Linked DNA regions of Oryctolagus cuniculus. The protein of the gene in region 3 interacts with the protein of the main gene of each other region in a pairwise test. Links are inferred from orthologs where the notes say so. Each region holds a gene or a part of one and is shown on either strand. Other genes may lie near its edges. The genes, in order: CCDC106, EGLN3 and ATF4.

Region 1 (3,648 bases), on a different chromosome or scaffold from region 3:
CGGCCGGCCGGGCCTCGGGGTTAATAAACGCCTGCCTTCCCACCCCGCGTGCCTTGCCTGCTCCGCGCGAGCCTCCCGCCGCGAAGGGGCCGCGGCTGTGCCCCCTACCCCGCCGTCTGACTGTGGACAGGTGCGGGGGCGGGCTTGCTGCGCGTGTCCACCACCGCGCGGTGCCGGGAGGGGTCGGATTCCCCCATTCTACAGGTGAGCACACTGAGGCCGGAAGCACGTCCTCCGGGCTGGCACGCAGCCTCTGAACCCCTCATTTCCCGGGGAGAGGGGGACCCTCCCCTTCCTGGGAACCGATCGTGGGGTCTGCCCTGGCCGGGCCCTGGGTACACACACCACGATCTTCCTCCTCTTCAACTTTCCCACACCGCCCTCCCCTTCTCGGGGGACCGTCGCCACCCACCCGAGGGACCCCTGCAGCCAAACCATCTCGCTGGGATGGGAATTTCGTGACGCTCCCTGCCTGAGCTTCGTGCAGGGCGGGGGAGTGCTGTAAGGGGCCGTCGCGCAAGTGCGGCCCCCGGCCTCTGCCGAAAACGGCGGGGTCTCACCTGGGTGCCAGGGCTCCGGGAGGAGAGGCGCCGGGCCGGCTGGACCCTGCCTCGCCGAGTTCCCCGCGTCCCGCTCCGCCGCCCAGTCCGGAGACCCGCTCCGCCGCCGCCCCGCCCGCTCGCGGGCGGGTGGGCGCCTCCCTTCGCTCTCTGTGACACTTTGCAGACGCTCCCCCGCGCCGGGCATGGGCGCCGCCGCCGCCGTCGGTCCGCGGCCCAGATTCCGCGCGCGGGTGGGTGAGCGCGGGCAGCTCCGGCCCCTCGGACCCGGGGCACGGGGCGGGGGAGGTGGGGAGGGGGATGGTGGCCGCGTCCGCACCCTTGGCCTATTATTGCAGGGACAATCCCCCCCCCCGCCACGGCCGCTCCCCCTCCCACCCGCGGGACAAAGGGCGGGGGCGGGGGGCGCATGCCCACGCGTGACCTTCCCCCGCACTGCGCACGCGCCCAGCCCCCCCCGTCATGGGGGAGGGGCCCTGCTGGCTCCAGGCGAGTGCGGGGGAGGGGCGTGGGACGACCGGGAGCCGGGAGTCGCCGCGCGTGGGCCGAAGTTGGGGCAGCTTCTCCCTGCACCTGCGGCTCGGTTGGGCCTGCAGAGACCCCTTGCGGGGGGTCCTCGCCGTGCGGGCCAGGGGCTCCCTGTGCCCCAGCAGCCCCGGGGTGCCCAGGCCCCAGCCGTCCGTCCGGGTCTCGGCTAGGCGCCCGCAGCTCTGGGTCCTGGAGCATGGGGTCCCCTCCCCCCCAGACCCCGGGCGGGCCCCTCCATCTGTGGCTGCTGTTTCTGTCCAGTGCCCCTGAGGCGCTCCGCTGCGGGGTCCACAGAAAGCCCGGCGATGAACGAGCGGAGCGGCCGGAGGCGGACGAGTGAGGACGCGGGGCCGCGGTGGGGGGCGGCCCCGGCGGGGCCTGCGGCCGCCTGGCGCGTGACCGCGGGCCTCTCCTGTCCAGTGAAGAAAGACGATGAGGGCTTTGAGGTCTCCGTCCCCTTCGAGGAGGCGCCCCCGCTGGACTCGCAGCTCTTCTACAGCCTGAACTCCTCGCAGGCGGGCTTCGAGGGTGAGCGGCGGGGGCGCGGGGGCGCGGAGGCGCGGGGCCGCCGGCCCGCAGGGTGACCGGTGCGCTCCCCGCCGCAGAGCCCGCGGAGGCCGCGTCGCCCACCCTGGCCCTGATGAACAGCGTCAAGGCGCAGCTGCACCTGGCCCTGGAGAGGAACTCGTGGCTGCAGAAGCGCATCGAGGACCTGGAGGAGGAGCGGGACTTCCTGCGCTGCCAGCTGGACAAGTTCATCTCCTCCGCGCGCGTGGACGCAGGTGGGCGCGCGGGCCGCGACCCCGTGCCCCTGCCCCCTCCCGTGCTGGTCCAGGACCAGCAGCAGCCCGGCCGGTTTACTGGCGGACCCACGCGTGCTGACCGCCGCCCAGCCCCAGCGGGGCCCCTGCTGCCCCTCTCTCTGCGAGCCCCCTCCTCCCCAAACCCGGCGCCACGCACGGGCCCGTGGTGCCCGTGCCCACGCTGTCAGGATCTGGCTGTCTCCCCCGCGGATGATTCCCGCGACGGTCGGGCCCCTGGGGAGCCCAGTACAGGGCCTTTCCAGCACCCGTGTCCCCGGGGAGCGCCCCCGGTGCAGCTGGAGGCCTTGGCTGTCCCCGGCCTACCAGGCCCAGAGCCCCTGTCTCCCGGGCTCCCACTGCCCTCCAGGGGCTCTGCGGGTCAGCGCGGCCGCCAGGCGTCCGGCCTGGGCCCGCCGTTCACCTGCGGGCTTTGCTCTCCCCCGCCCCCCATCCCACCCCCAGAGGACCACTGCCGGGCCAAGCCGGGGCCCCGGCGGGCGGAGGGGGACAGCCGCGGCGGCGCGGGGGGCGAGGCCTCGGACCTGGAGTCGGCCGCCTCGTCGCTCAGCGCCGCGTCCGAGGAAGGCAGCGCCGGCGAGAGGAAGAGGCAGAGGCCGCGGGCGGGCGCCGGCCGGAGGCGCTTCGGGAAGCCCAAGGCCCGGGAGCGGCAGCGGGGTGAGCGGGGGCCGAGGCCCCGGGGCGCGCGCCCTGGCCCCGCGCGCCGCGGCCCCGGCCCTGACCGCCGCCCGCTGTCCCCCCGCAGTGAAGGACGCCGACGGCGTGCTGTGCCGCTACAAGAAGATCCTGGGCACCTTCCAGAAGCTCAAGAGCATGTCGCGGGCCTTCGAGCACCACCGCGTGGACCGCAACACCGTGGCGCTGACCACGCCCATCGCCGAGCTGCTCATCGTGGCCCCCGAGAAGCTGGCCGAGGTGGGCGAGTTCGACCCCTCCAAGGAGCGCCTGCTCGAGTACTCGCGCCGCTGCTTCCTGGCCCTGGACGACGAGACGCTCAAGAAGGTGCAGGCGCTCAAGAAGAGCAAGCTGCTGCTGCCCATCACCTACCGCTTCAAGCGGTGACCCGTGCTCGCTCAGATCCAATAAAGAAAGACGAGAGACGTGACGCTCGGGCAGACGGCGCCCGGAATTTAAGTTAAAAAATTAAAAATAAAACAGAGACGTGACGCTTTGGCACAGACTGGGCCCCAGCGTTTTCCTCGGAGGGGAAGCGAGGGGTTGGGGAGCACAGGGTGGGGCGAGCCCCCCGGGGGCGGCGCCGTGCGTTAGCGGCGCGGGGCCCGACGACCCCCGGCATGGGCGGTCCCCGGGCGCGGCGCGGCGTGGCACGGCGGCCGTCTGCCGCCAGGGGGCAGCAGCGCGACGTTGGCCGCGTCCCGGAAGTGGTGCTTCCACCGCCTTCCACGCGTGCGCGCGGCGGCAGGGGTGCGAGAGCGCGGACGCAGTTGCCAAGACAACCGGGAGCGGGCGGTCGTGCTTAACGGTCGGGAACTCGGACTCCTTTTAGGCAGGGAAAGCCTCGCGCACGCGCAGTGGGGGCCCTGGAACCCGACACCGCCACCCCGCCTCAGACCGACCTCCGCGCAGCCGCAATAGCCCGCCTCAGCCCCTGCGCAGGCGCGCAGAGCCGCGCTGGCAACCTCCGCAGCGGCCGCGCGCGCCCTCCAGCCCGAAGGCTGCTGCTGCCTCGCGCAGCCGCCTCAGGCGCTCCGGAGAGTCGGCCCTTCCTTCCTTCCTCT
Region 2 (3,642 bases), on a different chromosome or scaffold from region 3:
GGCTCTACAGAATCCAAGGTTTCCCCTTTAATTTTTATGGGCTCCAGATGCATTTGCCATTGGCTCCGAGGTGTGAGGAACTCCTGTGCACCAGAATTCAGAGCGTCCCCTGGGAACTGGGGCCCGCATGAGCTCCTGAAGAGGAATCATAGCCCCACCGTTACCTGGTGGCGTAGGAAGGCTGCACCTCATGTGGATTCCTGCGGTCCGACCAGAAGAACAGCAGTCTATCGAAAATGGGCTCCACATCTGCTACGAACGACTTCCCTTCTGGAAATATCCTCAGGATCCCACCATGTAGCTGCAGGACCACAAGAAGGTAGATCATTTCCTGGCCTCACACAGGGTTTATCAACAACAACATTTCAGCCCCACCTGGAAACAATGCCATTCTCCGAGTTTTACTTCCTCCTCACCCTTGGTACCAAATTGTATTGCAAACTTGGCTAAGAAACTTCTCCTTATGCACCTCATTTCCAATCAAACCCTTGCCACTGAGCGATCATGAAACCAGCTCATGGACACAAAATAGATTAGCATTAGAATGGACCACAGAGAAGTGCCAATGTGTGAGTGGTTTTGACTTTGACTTACAAAAACAAAACCAACCAACCAACCAACCCCAGCCGTTTCATATGGTTCCATCTAATAGCAGTAGCTTCCTAAGATGATTCCCACTTCTCCAGTTGGAATTCACAGGTTTTGCCAAATTCCCCAAGCTCCTATCCAACCCTGTTAGCACAAGTTATAAGCTCTTTTCTTCCACCATCTTATCAGCCCCTCCTACTACACGTTAACTCTTTCTTGAATTACTCATCTTTTTCTACATGTGTCCTCAATCTGTCTTCCCAGAATTACTACAATCAAAGGAGCATTCCGGCCCTCTGTATCAGCGCATCCCTACAGCACAATGCCTATCACTGAAAGGAACTCAAATCTTTGTCCAACGACTTCACACTCTGCTCTGCGCATTGTTTTTATTGACCTAATAACTTGACGCTCTTGCCTACAGGGTTTTCAAGGGGACCGAATGGATGTGTTTCAGTCATGTTACTCAAGAGGGAGACGAAGAGACAAGCCTTGTCACTCACTCACTGCTTTCCCAGGTTTCGTTTCTATGACCCTGGAGAAAATATCACTGCTTTATGGCAGCCAGCATCTGCCCCGAAAGAACAGGAAATGGAGTCGCAGAAAGTTCAAAAGCCAAATAAGCTTCCAAAGTCCTCCAACTTCCCAGAGTCCTAAATCACACTCAACTTTCAGAAAGTATACAAAGTCCAGACAAATGCTGGCACACATGGAGCCAGACTTTGATTTTCCTCTTTCTCTACGTGTTCTAAAATACAAAAATAAGCCACCAAGCCTCTGGCACTCATAAAGCACAGTATGCTGTGGCAAGCAGCCATTAATGAGATGTAGCACCCTGAGAAAGAGGCGTGCGAAGGAGCTCTCTCTTGGGGATGGTTTTGCTTTGGATCCTATAGTTCTATTTTTGTGCTGTCCTCTCAGTGCTACTGTTGGGAGGGAAACATGTACATCCTATTTTGCAGTGAGACTCATATCAGCTCTGAATTACACTAAAAAAAATCCATCTGTAATCCTAACATCAAATTACCTTCCCTTTGTCAACCACCCATCCCACCCCTTAATAATCACCGTAGCTACCCACCCCCAAGGCAGTTTCACATACATGATCTTCATCTCACCAATTCTAGCACTAATTCCAGGGTGGGGAGGAGGGGAAGGAAAACGTGAGAGACATAGAAAGATTCATCAGCGGGAGATAGAGAGCTATTATGAACTCAAAACTCTCCTCTGAATTATCTGAATTCTTTTCCATCGTTTCCTAACTCCACACACACTCCCATTATTCCACGGTACCTTGGCATCCCAGTTCTTGTTCAGGTAGTAGATGCAGGTGATACAGCGGCCGTCACCATTGGGATTGTCCACGTGGCGAACATAACCTGCTCCGTTTCCTGGATAGCATGCCACCATCGCCTATGAGGAAATCCCAAGAAAGCTGGTTAACAACACTGAAACAAACTTCTCCTCCCACTGGTGAGCAGACAGTGACACAGTCTCCTTGGATATGTATGACATGTATGACATGTGTGGCTGCTGGCTTCCTAGCTGCATGTGTAGTGTGTCTGTTTGGACTCCCCAGCATGTAAGATGAACAGCCAGGTCATGCCTTGTGGCTCAGCCCAGAGGGAAGTGGTGTGGCAATACTGCCACAGCTCTAGGACATTTGACAGTCTTCTTTCTGTCCATGGACACGATGCTCTGCCTTTCTTCAAAACTCCTTTGGTGAGAAAACCACTTATGGTTACCATTCTAGGTCCACAAAACCAAAATCATGAGAGGTACAGCTTAGGGATTATGTCTGTTTAATGAATGCCTCTGAATCACCGTATCACTCGGTCTTACAAGAACAGCTAGATCCTTGTATTTGCGAGAAGAACCAATCACCAAAAAGGTCAGGCTTGCTCAATACAATGTTTAGGACAGAAGGGAAAGAGAAGGGTCAACAAGAGGCTAATGTGTTAGCACAGACAACGCAGCGGAATCCCCCGCAGGGAAAACCAAACACTTACAGTATGTTTCTGAATACTCTTCCTCCTACCTGGGAATTCGGAAATGAGGAGCTAATATGAAGCCCTCCTCCTCTGTGTATCATACAGCTGGAGGAATAAAGCAGAAAGCCTTCCTGAAAATCCTCTGAGAGGGTAACAAACCTGATTGTTCCAGGGGAACTTTGTAAGAGTAGGGGAAAAAGGGGCAAAGTACAAAAAGCCAGTTCTTGTCTTCACAGGACACTGCCGTACTTTAAAGACATTTTTTATAGGTCTGTGATATATGTAGAGAAACTAAGAAAACCTGCAACGTAAGACATCGGCAAAGACTTCTTTCCTGCTCGGTTTGCTGATGCATTCTTGGTACCTGGGACAGTGCCCGATACGAAGAATCCTCTTAAAATCCGGTGAATGAATCAATGAATTAGTGAGAAGCTGTTTCGCTAACGAATAAGTTCACATTCCACCTAGGTTGATTGCTTTTTTTATAATTTTAAAAAGCCTATCTCCAAACACACATATAGGGATCCAGTTCATATACACCCTGACAAGTGACAGAATGGCTTCATTAGTAAAATGACTAGTTGGGTAGAGCCCCAAACTAACATGCTAACGGATCAATGGACAAGCTTCAATGTAGTTGCTAAATCACTCCCCCCAGCAGCATGAAAACATGGCACAAGGCATCACATACAATGCAAGCTAGAATAATAAGGCTGAATGGTGACTTGGCTTTAGAGACATCTAAAACCTTAAGTCACCATTATCTCTCACACTTTATAACTTCATGAATTAGCAATGCCTATATCCTGCCTTCGCACACCAAAATATCAATGCAATGTCATCCCTAGAACTGAAGCTCGACTGTTAGCTTGAATGTCTTTCAGAAGGTGGAATGTCAAGGCAACTGCAATAAATTAACAAACGATGGACACGTAATTGGTAGCAGAGATGCTGGGCCAAGCTGGAAAGGAAGAGATAAATGAAGTCACTTCCAATGAGCAGGGAATTACCCACCATCCCTGGAAGCGGCTATTTGGATTGTTAGAGCCACCACTGAGCCAGT
Region 3 (3,742 bases):
AAAAAACTTGCTTCTTTACTTGAAAGGCAAAAATTAGGAGTTCTTCCATCTGGTTCGTTCCCCAGATGGCCAAGAGCTGGAACTCCGCCGGGTCGCCCACGTGGGCGCAGGGGCGCAAGCACGGCTCTCCCGGGCGCATCAGCAGGGAGCGGGCGGGACTCCCGGGATGGATGCGGGGTCGCGGTGGCGGCGCGGGAGTCCCACCCCCACCGCCTTCCTCCTGACCCCCGGGCAGAGTGCCGCGCCCTAGGCCTCGGCCGCCGGTCAGTTCCGGGAGGAGCCCCCTGAGGAAGCAGAGTGACCCCACAGGGGTAGCCGGGAGTGGGGACCCCGAGTTAGCGTGGCGGGAGCGCGTCCCGCGCGCGGGCCGGGCCCCAGCACGGCCAGTGTCCGCCAACAGACGGGGGCGCCGGGGCTGCCCGTGCACCCTGGGAAGGGTGGCCCTGGCCCCAGGGCAGGTTGTCTGTCCAGCCAGCAGCGCTCGCGGAAGGGACGCGGGAGTGGAGCTCTGCGGGCCGGGGCCCGGCTCCCCGGGAACTCCTGTCCCCCGCAGGGCCACCGGGCCTTGTCCGGAGCTCGTGGGAACCACCCGGGGTCGCAGCGGGGCTGAGCCTGCAGAGGCCAGAGGCGTCCCCGCAGCGACGCCCTGCAGCAGAAAGGGCGCCGCGGACACGCAGGCTGGCCAGCGGCTCGCGGAGGTCAGCGGGAGGACGCAGAGCCGGCCCCGGACGGCGGCAGGCTCCCCGGCCCCGAGGCCCGGGCCCGCTCGCGGCGGGCTCGCTCGGAGGCCGCTGGGCGCTGATTTCTACCGCTGCGGCCGCCGAGGCTACAACCAAAGGCACGGCTGCACGCCAGGCCGCTCCCGCCCTTTCCCGCGCAGACCCGGGCCCCTTCGCCGAGTGGCCCGCCCCCCTCGGGCCCTGAGCCAATAGGAGCTCAAGGTATATATGACTCCTCAGGCCTGAGCCAATCATCTCGACGCGCGCTCCCCGCCAGCGTCTCGCGCGATAGCCGGGCGGCCTCGGCCTTCACAATAAAAAGCCTCCTTGGAATGAAAGGCTCTTCACGCCCCGCCCCTGAGAGAGATCCCTCCGCGCATCCGGGCATCCGAGGGGGAAAGGACGAGACTCTTTGATCTTGGACGCCTTGTAAAGTAGTGCGCCTTTTTCCCGACGTGAGATCTTGAAAGTAAACTACTTTTCTGTACATGGCTACGCCTCGGACATAAAAGCTCGGGGGAGGAAAGTGGTGGGGACGCCGGGGAGTGGGCAGGAGGCGCGGGTCACATGGCCGCGGCGGAAGGATGCGTCCTGTGATGCGGCTCGGAGGCGACCAAGTCTATAAAAGCCCGGCGGGCCGCGCGCCGCCGCCATTACCGCTGCGCCCGCCCGTCGATGTAGATCTCTTGCGAGCCGTGCCCTTCCTCCTCCCGTCCCGCAGGGCCGCGGCCACCATGGCGTATTAGAGGCAGCAGTGCCTGCGGCAGCGTTGGCCTTTGCAGCGGCGGCAGCAGCACCAGGCTCTGCAGCGGCAACCCCCAGCGGCTTAAGCCATGGCGTGAGTACCGGGCCGGGCGAGGGGGCCGGGGCCCGGCGTCTGCGGGCCCTGGGCCTGGGCCTGGGCTTGGGCGCGGCCTGCGGCCGGGGGTCGGGGCCGCGTCGCCGAGGCGGAAGCGGTTTTACGAGCGCCGGGGACGCGTGGTTCCTGCTTGCGTGTCCTTGGGCGGGGTCGGGAGAGCGCGGCCCGGCGCCCGCGTCCCCGGGGAGGTGGGGGCGCGCTGTCCTCGGAGCCCCGGCCCCCGCTCTGCGCCGGCGGGGGTCGCGGTGGCCGCCCCGCGAAACGTGGCGGCGGCCAAGATGGCGGCGGGAGGCGGCGCGGGGTGAGTCACGGGGCGGGGCCGGGCGGGCGGGCCGGGCGCCGGCCCCGGCGGGGGCGGCCATGGCCGCTGTGCACCTGCCGCCCGGCCGGCCCCCGCCCTGATGGCGCCCCTGCCGCTCGCCCGCAGGCTCCTCACGGCACCCAGCAGCAGCGTTGCTGTCACGGACAGAGACACCTTCGAGCTGAGCCCCTGCCCCGGTTCCAGCGCAGCCCCGCGACACGGCCGACATGAGCTTCCTGCACAGCGCGGGGTTGGCGGGGGACTTGGCGTCCCCCTTCGACCAGGCGGCTTTGGGGGCTGAGGAGGGCCTGGGGCTCCTGGACGACTACCTGGAGGTGGCCACGCCCTGGAAGCCTCCCGGGCCCCCCGGCGACAAGGCTGCGGCGGGCTCCTCGGAATGGCTGGCGGCGGACGGGCTGCTGGGCGCCCCCGCCGACGGCAAGGGTGAGCGCCGCGGGGGGTGGGGGTGGGAGGGGGCGCCCGTGTCGGGGGGGGGGCGCCGGCCTCACGCGCCCTCGCTCGCGCCCCCGCAGAGGACGCCTTCTCCGGGACGGACTGGATGTTGGAGAAAGTGGACCTCAAGGAGTTCGACTTCGACGCCCTGCTGAGCTTGGACGACCTGGAGGCCGTGCCCGACGAGCTGCTGGCCACGCTGGACGACTCGTGCGACCTCTTCGCCCCCCTGGCCCTGGACGCGCTCAAGGAGCCGCCCCAGGCAGGGAGCCCGCTCGGCCCCCTCCCCGCGAGCCTGCCGCAGGTCGCCCCCTGCACCTTCCTGCAGCCCCTGCCCCTGTCGCTGGGGGTCGCGGCCGCCTCCCCGGATGAGTCGTTCAGCTTGGAGCTGGGCAGCGAGGTGGACATCGCGGACGGGGACCGGAAGCCCGAGTCGCCCGGCCTGGGCCCCGTGGTCCCGCAGGGCGTCAAGGAGGAGGACAGCCCCTCCGACAACGACAGCGGCGTCTGCATGAGCCCCGAGTCCTGCCCGGGCTCCCCGCAGCGCAGCCCCTCCGCCCCCACCCCCAGGGGCTCCCCGCACAGGGGCCCCCCCGCCCCGGCCCGCCCCAAGCCCTACGAGCCTGCGGCGGCCGCGGCGGCGCGCGTGAAGGGCGAGAAGCTGGAGAAGAAGCTCAAGAAGATGGAGCAGAACAAGACGGCCGCCACGCGCTACCGGCAGAAGAAGCGGGCGGAGCAGGAGGCGCTGGCGGGCGAGTGCCGGGGGCTGGAGGAGCGCAACGCGGCCCTGCGGGAGAGGGCCGACGGCCTGGCCAAGGAGATCCAGTACCTCAAGGACCTGCTGGAGGAGGTGCGGGCGGCCCGCGGCAGGAGGAGGGTCCCCGCCTAGGGCGCACGCACAGGAGGCTCCGCTGTTAATAAATTATTTTGTAGTGAAAGCATTCCTGGGAGTTGTCCTGTGGCTCACACCCTCTGGGCGTGGTGGGGCGGGCAACAAGAGTCCCACGCGGGATGGTGGGATCTGGTCTGGGGCGGGCACTCACTCCATGAGTGGCTGCAACTTCCTTGTTCGGTGTTCCTGTGTGTGTGTGTGGGGGTGGTCACTGGCTCCAGCCTGCACACACACAGATCATGGGAGAGCTGTCTATTCGAAGGCAGAGTTGGAGACGGTCCTCCATCTGCTGGCTCACACACCCAATGGCCACGGCAGCCAGGGCTGGGCTGCAGCAGAAGCCTGGAGCTGACAGATGCAGGGGCCCAAGCACTCACCACAGCAGAGAGCTGCAGCAGCTGGGATTCGAACTGGCACCCACATGGGGTTCTGGCACTGCAGGCTGCTTCACCTGCTATGCCCCAGCACTGGCCCTGAGCTGGGGGGCCAGACCCCGCTGTTCTGGGCCAGCCGTTAGG

The links.
Region 1: the proteins of ATF4 (region 3) and CCDC106 interact in binary tests that used the Homo sapiens proteins (3 or more experiments, as listed by UniProt). The link is inferred for Oryctolagus cuniculus from reciprocal best matches to the Homo sapiens genes ATF4 and CCDC106.
Region 2: the proteins of ATF4 (region 3) and EGLN3 interact in a two-hybrid assay, tested with the Homo sapiens proteins (2 studies listed by BioGRID). The link is inferred for Oryctolagus cuniculus from reciprocal best matches to the Homo sapiens genes ATF4 and EGLN3.

What each region holds. Positions count from the first base shown.
Region 1 is NC_091449.1:3,340,540-3,344,187, reverse strand, and holds CCDC106 (coiled-coil domain-containing protein 106), read left to right. Parts: upstream 1-1,393; coding exon 1,394-1,616; intron 1,617-1,693; coding exon 1,694-1,870; intron 1,871-2,353; coding exon 2,354-2,566; intron 2,567-2,654; coding exon 2,655-2,971; 3' UTR 2,972-3,087; downstream 3,088-3,648. UniProt on the Homo sapiens protein: Promotes the degradation of p53/TP53 protein and inhibits its transactivity.
Region 2 is NC_091443.1:41,531,748-41,535,389, reverse strand, and holds part of EGLN3 (prolyl hydroxylase EGLN3), read right to left. Parts: intron 2,002-3,642; coding exon 1,882-2,001; intron 302-1,881; coding exon 165-301; intron 1-164. UniProt on the Homo sapiens protein: Prolyl hydroxylase that mediates hydroxylation of proline residues in target proteins, such as PKM, TELO2, ATF4 and HIF1A. Target proteins are preferentially recognized via a LXXLAP motif.
Region 3 is NC_091442.1:115,754,863-115,758,604, forward strand, and holds ATF4 (cyclic AMP-dependent transcription factor ATF-4), read left to right. Parts: upstream 1-1,353; 5' UTR 1,354-1,557; intron 1,558-2,005; 5' UTR 2,006-2,106; coding exon 2,107-2,323; intron 2,324-2,412; coding exon 2,413-3,221; 3' UTR 3,222-3,273; downstream 3,274-3,742. UniProt on the Homo sapiens protein: Transcription factor that binds the cAMP response element (CRE) (consensus: 5'-GTGACGT[AC][AG]-3') and displays two biological functions, as regulator of metabolic and redox processes under normal cellular conditions, and as master transcription factor during integrated stress response (ISR).